Linked DNA regions of Astyanax mexicanus. The protein of the gene in region 1 interacts with the protein of each later gene in a pairwise test. Links are inferred from orthologs where the notes say so. Each region holds a gene or a part of one and is shown in the gene's direction. Other genes may lie near its edges.

What was found.
Region 2: the proteins of cdc42ep2 (region 1) and rho GTPase-activating protein 26 interact in binary tests that used the Homo sapiens proteins (3 or more experiments, as listed by UniProt). The two-hybrid records come from large-scale screens. The link is inferred for Astyanax mexicanus from reciprocal best matches to the Homo sapiens genes CDC42EP2 and ARHGAP26.

What each region holds. Positions count from the first base shown.
Region 1 is NC_064408.1:32,557,242-32,560,991, forward strand, and holds the start of cdc42ep2 (cdc42 effector protein 2), read left to right. Parts: upstream 1-1,203; 5' UTR 1,204-1,517; intron 1,518-3,750. UniProt on the Homo sapiens protein: Probably involved in the organization of the actin cytoskeleton. May act downstream of CDC42 to induce actin filament assembly leading to cell shape changes. Induces pseudopodia formation in fibroblasts in a CDC42-dependent manner.
Region 2 is NC_064424.1:20,704,608-20,708,357, forward strand, and holds the start of rho GTPase-activating protein 26, read left to right. Parts: upstream 1-862; 5' UTR 863-1,329; coding exon 1,330-1,483; intron 1,484-3,750. UniProt on the Homo sapiens protein: GTPase-activating protein for RHOA and CDC42. Facilitates mitochondrial quality control by promoting Parkin-mediated recruitment of autophagosomes to damaged mitochondria.

The sequences.
Region 1 (3,750 bases):
CTGCTCTTTCAAATAAAAATAATGCCAATTCAGAAAGGAACCTACTAATGTTTTCATACTTCCAAAACAATTTTACTTTTTCACATTTTCTAAACAAATAATTGTTTGAGACCCATGCAAATATCATTGGTAATATATAAAATATATATTTTTTAGACCTCATTTGCCAAAAAGTGTGGCATTTTAGCAAACTCAACCCTTTTTAAAAATTTTGATTTCTCTTAGTTTCAATGTGTGGTGTTTATATGGTATCCTAACCCATACATACTGAGTAGTGGTTTATTCTATATTCTTGTACCTTTGTATATATCTATTTTGTATATCGTTTGTACATTTTCTGACACTTCTGTTCTGTCCTCTAAGTTACAAAACTGTAATAATGTAAAAAAAAGTGAATGCTGTTTGATTATTACAGGATTATCTTACCTTATCACTACCACTGTAAGAAACCTCTATAATAATCGATTTCACACCAAACTACTCTGAATGACTGAAAAATGTGTGAAATTCATTACATTCTAATAATAGGCTTTACTGTATGTATTTAGAACTACTTGTGAGAGAGAATGAGAGAGAGAGAGAGATTAAGAAAGAGGGAAGTGGGTGAGAGATAGAGAGAGAGGAAGAGAGAGGGAAGGGGGAGAGAGAGAAGGGTGAGAGGGAGGAGAGAGAAGGGCGAGAGAGAGAAAAGGGTGAATGAGGAAAGAGAGGGAAGGGGGAGAGAGATAGAGAGAGAGAGAATGGTGAGAGGCACAGAGAGAGAAGGGGGAGAGAGAGAGAGAGAGAGAGAGAGAAGGGTGAGAGAGGGAGAGAAGGGTGAGAGGGAAAGGGTGAGTAAGAGAGAGAGAAGGGTGTGAGAGAGAGGAGAGAGAGAAGGGTGAGAGAGAAAAGGGTCAGAGACAGAGAGAGAAGGGTGAGAGGGAGAGAAGGGTGAGAGAGAGAGAGGAGAGAGAGATAAAAGGATGAGAGAGAAAAGGGTGATTGAGAAGAAGAAGAGGAGAGAGAGAAAAGGGTGAAAGAGAGGAGAGAGAGAGTGAAAGAGTGGAGATTGAGAGTGGGACAGAGAGAGAGAGAGAAGGTTGAGAGAGAGAGAGTGAGAGAGAGAGAGAGAAAGTGCTCTGGAGGGCGTTTCTGGTTTCACAGTATCAGCAAACAGAGCTCAGTGTATCGGATGAAGAGGTTATTTCCGTGAAGCGGGAGAGAGAGTACTGACGGTGCAGACACGGTGGGGGTCGTTCAGGGGGTATTCTGGCTTTTTTAGCCATGAAACGAGTCGGAGATGCTCGGGCTCCCCTCGCAGACCCGCGGTTACTCAACCACGCCCCCCGAGGGCGGAGTCACGGGGCCAGGCTGAGTAACCACGAGCTCGCGCTGCACTGAGTCAGTTCATGACTGGAGAGCACCTGGAGACAGGAGGCTTTCCCTGCCTGTTCAGTACAAGGACTTATTTCTCTCTTCAGGGAGGACGAACACCTCTATAAAAAGGATTTAAACTGAGTGAGAAACTGAACTTAAAGGTAAGCTCAAAAAATAAAAACACAGCACTTATATTTGGCTTCAATTTAACTGGTGGGTTTAACTGTGGGTTTCTGTTTGTGGGACCAATTTCACATCTTAGTTTAAAAGAATATAGACAAATCGTTTTTTTTTTTAAGAAAAATTAGCATAGCTGATTTGATTAAAAATTGGTTTTAAATGTATTATCAATACTTCAAAAATGTAGTGAAAATACTGAATTTTACTGTGTTAGCTATGTAAAAGTAGTTAAAACACATTAAACAGTTAAAAAAATTAACATATTTTTTTCTGTGGTAAAATGCGTGTTAAAAATGAGTATTTAGAAAAACAGTTAGCCAAAGTAAAACTAAATTAAATACATTCAGACAAGTAGTTCTGTTTGTCTGAGAGATATTGAGCCAGCTCTATAAAAAAAGGTTTAAAAGCTTTAAATGCCTGTCCGTGTTAATCGCAGTTTGTGGAAAAAAACTGTGAGGAATATTAAAATAGAGAATCTTCTGTTTACCTCAGAAAGTAGACCAGCGGTAACTAACTGTGTTGCAAAGCTGTGTGGATAAAAGCCTATAACAATAACAGCCCATAATATCGAATAGCATATCTATTGAACACTTTAACCCAAGCGGTTTACCGCATTCACCCATTATTTGAACCGCATTAAAATCACGTGGTAACTCTGTTTGGCGTCTGTTTGCGGGTGTGCTGACCGTTGAATAGAGAACAGCTTTAGTTAGCTTTTTGTTTCGAGAACAGGCTTTTACTGAGCTCCCATTGGCAGCAAACACCTGCTTTAGAGAGCATTAACTCCCAGTGTGCTGGACATACAGCTCTGGAAAAAAATAAGAGACCACTTAAAAATGATGAGCTTCTTTGATTTTCCCAAATTGAAAACCTCTGGAATATAATCAAGAGGAAGATGGATGATCACAAGCCATTGAACCAAGCTAAACTGCTTGAATTCATGCATCAGGAGTGCACCAAAAGCAGTATGTAAGAGTGGTGGAGGAGAACATGCCAAGATGCATGAAAACTGTGATTAACAATCATGGTTATTCCACCAAATATTGGTTCCTGAACTCTTAAAACTTTAATGAATTTGAACTTGTTTTCACAATGTTAATTTTACTCAAACATAAACCTATAAATAGCAACATCATAGAAACTGATTCAGAAACTGAATTGTTCTCTTATTTTTTCCAGAGCTGTATAGCTTAAAGTTGCAGTTTGAAGATACGAATAATAAAGTTGTAATAAGGTGGTTATTATTTAAAAAATTTTTTTCTCTATTTAACTAAAACTGCTGTTTGACAGTTATAGTCTACAGTTTTCTGTAAGTGAATTGTGTCCTTCAGTGTGAAATGTAGTATGTTTTTGTAATTTCCGTTTTAACTACCTTGGAAAAACTGCACTGTTGTTTTCTTGTAGTTGGGTGGAGGCTCGTTGTGTTTGATTGATGATAAATGTGCAGGAAATTAGATGTGGAGAGGGATTATGACAGATATCCACTGTGTTGTGCATTTCCTCTCCCCAAGCTGCCTTTAAAGGCCAGTGTAGACCCCTGCTTACGTAATGGTTCTCTGAAATCATTAGGACATTACCAGGGATTTTTCCCACCTTTTCTGCAGGAACAGCCTCTGCTCCTTTGGAAAGGTTGTACAGTGGAACTTTGCTATGATAATTTGATTGCATTCAGCTAAGCTTTAATGGCTGAAACCAAGCATTGGATAGCATGGTATAAAGCCTCTCCAGTTTTGCACTGTGAAGCAGTGAAACTGTGATCTCTTGAGCTCCATCCAATACTTTTGAGATGAGTTGGAGAACTGCAAAACTAATTATCTAACATCAGTACTGATTGGTCACCTCATCTCAGAAGAGTTTGACAGATTGCCACCACTTGCACAAGTGTACAATTTAGTTCCACTTGCTAAGTACACTTGTAGACTTGTACGTGTCTAGCCAATCCTTGGCTTAAGGTGTGGTAAACATTTTGGTTTAGAAGAACCTTTCTTTTAAAGCTATTGTACAAGCTGTGTTTATGCAGTTGAATTCATGAAGATACAACATACGTACAGTCTGGCCCAAAAAAAAGGTCAAACACTCTAATATTTTGTTGGGCTGCCTTTATCTTTAATTGCGTCACATGGTTCTGCAATGTCACAAGTTTTAGTGTTGCATTCATTTTTTACTTAGATCTTACACTGATGATTATAGAGTCTGACCACTGCACAAAGCCTT
Region 2 (3,750 bases), on another chromosome or scaffold:
TTTTTTCTATTTTTCCCTTCCACCTTAAATAATGCAGCTTCTTCTGTCTGTTGCACCATTTAAGGTGGAATGGAAATGTTTGTTATCTAGCTACTAAGATGAACAACTGTCAATTTATTTAATTCTTGCTATAAAGAAAATTCTCATAAATCATAATATTAAAACTACACATTAAACAATGGTAATATAGTGTTTATAGTTATTTTTAGCAAGGAAAATACTTTATGTTTTTTTCCTGAAAAATAATCTAATTTTAAAGAGTCCTATAGCCCGTAACACTTCCCCCCTACCTCTCCAGCATAACAAGAATCTGCAGATTTTATAGATATTTCTTTGTTTTTTTGCGTTTATTAACATGTTAGAACGACTAATTAAATGAATTAAATTACATACCTTACATTATTTTATTTATGCACATAAAAATACCAAAAAACCGTTTTAATTGACGGCCTTGTTTTCTCTCTTCCCTTTCAACGAGAAGCGAAAACCCCGCTCTGTTGATACGTCACGTCTCTCGACCAATCAAATCATTTGTTTAAGTGTGGTCGTCGCGCCCATCGGATTTGAGCACGGGAATCCCGGCACGCTATAGGCTGAGAGGGCCGTCAGTCATCGGATTATCCGTTTCGCGGTAGGTCGGAAGGGGGGAATGGGAGGGAGGAGGGCGCGTCTCTAACGGCTATGTGTTCCCTACGTAATGGCCTCGATTAAACAAGGAATAGCGGGTTACGCGTTTATGTAGTGCCCTTGGTAGTGCGTGTGAAGGTGGTTTGGGATTGGCCCGCTGGGGTTGAGCTGTTTAAAACGCCCAGGCGAGGATTTCGTCTCCTCCTCCTCCACCTCCACCCCCACCTCCACCCCCTCCTCCTCCTCGGGAGCAGCAGCGTGACGTTGCCGTTAGAGGTGCACAGGTTTCGCAGGGCTCGCGGGAGATAACGTAGATAGCTGGGTTAACGTTATATTTATTTATTTTCACACCTTTCTTTCCCTCCCCCTCCTTCTCCCTAAACCACACACACACACACACACAGCACAGGCTCCAGTGGAGTGAGTGAGACAGTGGGATGTGGTTCGGTCTCTTTTGCTGTTTTGTTTTTGTTGTTAGTTTACGTTAGGGTTATCTCTATCTAACAGTTATTTATCTATTTGGAAGCAGTCCGGTAGCCCAGCCCGCCTTCCTGCAGCAGAGCGGCCAGCTATGTGATTAACACGGGCGATTTTACACCGGCGCGTCTGATTTTCGCCTCCCTGCAGCAGCTCGACAGCAGCTAGAAGCTCCGCTGGACGCTTTTTTAACGTTTTTAAGCGCTGTGTGTGTGTTTAGGAAACATGGGGCTGCCCGCTCTGGAGTTCAGCGACTGCTATCTGGACAGCCCGCAGTTCAGAGACAGACTCAAGTCTCACGAGCTGGAGCTGGATAAAACCAACAAGTTCATCAAGGAGCTCATCAAGGACGGCAAGGCGCTCATCCAAGCCCTGAAAAGTAAGAGCAGCATCTTCCTCTGGGGGTTCAAACCTGACACGCATGACCTGGCTGGAGCTACTGTGCCCGGGTGCACTCTGTGTGTGTGTGTGTGTGTGTGCGTGTATGTGATGGATTCAGCGCAGCACGTGCAGCTTTGTTGTACTAGTTAACTAACTTAGTTAGGTAACCTATCTAGGTTACCTACTGCAGATGTGGGTAACCCCCCTGTCTCTTGATCTAGTTATCCAGCTGGTCTCTTCTTTATTAATGTACTCTTTCTCATCTTGCTATCTATATTTATGTTATAACTCAGTAACTCATTATAGGAGCTCCTCGTGTGCTTTCATGTGGCCACTAGTTGTGTAATAAATAGTAGATATAGAAGAGTAAAGGGATAACACTGTTAACTAGGTTAAATAAGTACTAAAACAAAAATGTGTGCAAAGCTACTGTACACTACGTCTGCACAATGCTAGTTAGTGATATATAGTGAGATACTCTATTATGGCTGCACAATATAACAGGAAAAACCTGACATTGTGTTTGACATTGTTGTTGTTTTGCAGTATATACAGCTCTAAGACCGCTTAAAATGTTTCTTTGATTTTACCAAACTGAAAGCCTCTGGAATGTAATTAAGAGGAAAACTTATGATCACAAGCCATCAAACCAAGCTGAACTGCTTGAATTTTTGCACCAGGAGTGGCATAAAGTTATCCAAAAGCAGTGTGCAAGACTGGTGGAGGAGAACATGCCAAGATGCATGAAAACTGTGATTAAAAACCAAGGTTATTCCACCCAATATCGATTTCTGAACACTTCTAAAAACTTGTTTTCTTTGTGTTATTTGAGGTCTGAAATCTTTTTTCATTTTCTGCAAATAAATGCTCTAAATGAAAATATTTATATTTGAAATTTGCAAGAAATGTTGTCCATAGTATATAAAATAAAACAACATGTTCATTTTACTCAAATTGCAATATCAGAGAAACTGAGGTGGTATCGTAATTTTTTTCAGAGCTGTATATACTGCAAAAGAAAAATATTGTCAGTTTTCCAGCCATAACAAGGATGTATGATGGTCCTGGATTTGATTATATTAATATCAACAGATCTTCGCTTAGGTAGATTTGACTGGTATTTAAATAATGCTATTAAAAGGCTAATTTATACTTCTGCTTCGACCTGTGAGGTAGCCTATGCATACCCAAAGCATAGCCACGTGCCATACACAACGCATTGATTTGACGGCACATAAGTATAAACCAGCCTTCATTTGAACTCTATAATAAGGCAGATTTAGACTGCATTTTTAATTACTTACATATTAACATCTACATCAGAGCTTGCATTTTTGCATCCCATGGTTATGGAAACCCCAAACTTGTTGAGGGCTTACACATTATATGATTACCCAATTGCAGCAGACAGGTTCATGCAGGGCGTTGTGTTTTTTGGAATTTACTGTATTTTACCATTATCCACATCACATATAAAACACAGCAGGCATGTGTTGGTTGGTTGTAAACAGAAAACAATGAATCAGTTTAAATCCGTCTGGGCTATTGGTATTCAGTCACAAAGCTATGTTGAAGTATTGCTTGGACTTGAAATTACAGAGAGGTGTAACAGGATTCACTGCTGAGGTTGAGTTGTGTGGTGCTGGCAGGCTTTTTTTCTGCAAACGCAAATTGCTGTTTGGGCAAGTCCCTGGGCTGCTGACTTCACAAGAAGTTTTGTTGCAACTCCTGTGTTGAAATTGAGGCTCATGCTTCACAGGAGCATGAGACCACATGGCCCACTGGAAGACTACCACTGTTTATATGAGGTGGAGGCCCATGACTGACTGAGCCGTCATCTCCTGAGCCATGTCATTCAAGTTGGAGCGCTCATTCACTCCTGTCAGCTAAGCAGAGGCTCAAGCGCTGGGCATTGAGCGACACGACTTTAGAGAACGTAAACACCAACAGGCAGCTACGGCTTGCTTGTAAACACGCGACCGGCCTGTCATTTCACCTCAGGATAAAAGGCTTCCGTCCGCAGGCTCAGCCCTGAAGCACGATAATTACGCTCACAGATTCAAATCGTGGTTACTCTAATTTCACACAGATGGGTTGCAGTTTTTCGGCGATATCTCAATTGGCGTTAAAGGTGGCGAGATAAGATTGGTAGTGCGGGAGCTGTGGAGGCGTTGGGGCTGGTTCATGATGTGGCAACACCCAAGTTAGAACCAGAAGACCAACTTTATGGGCCAACTGTGTCATTTTGTTTCTTAAATTGGGTCA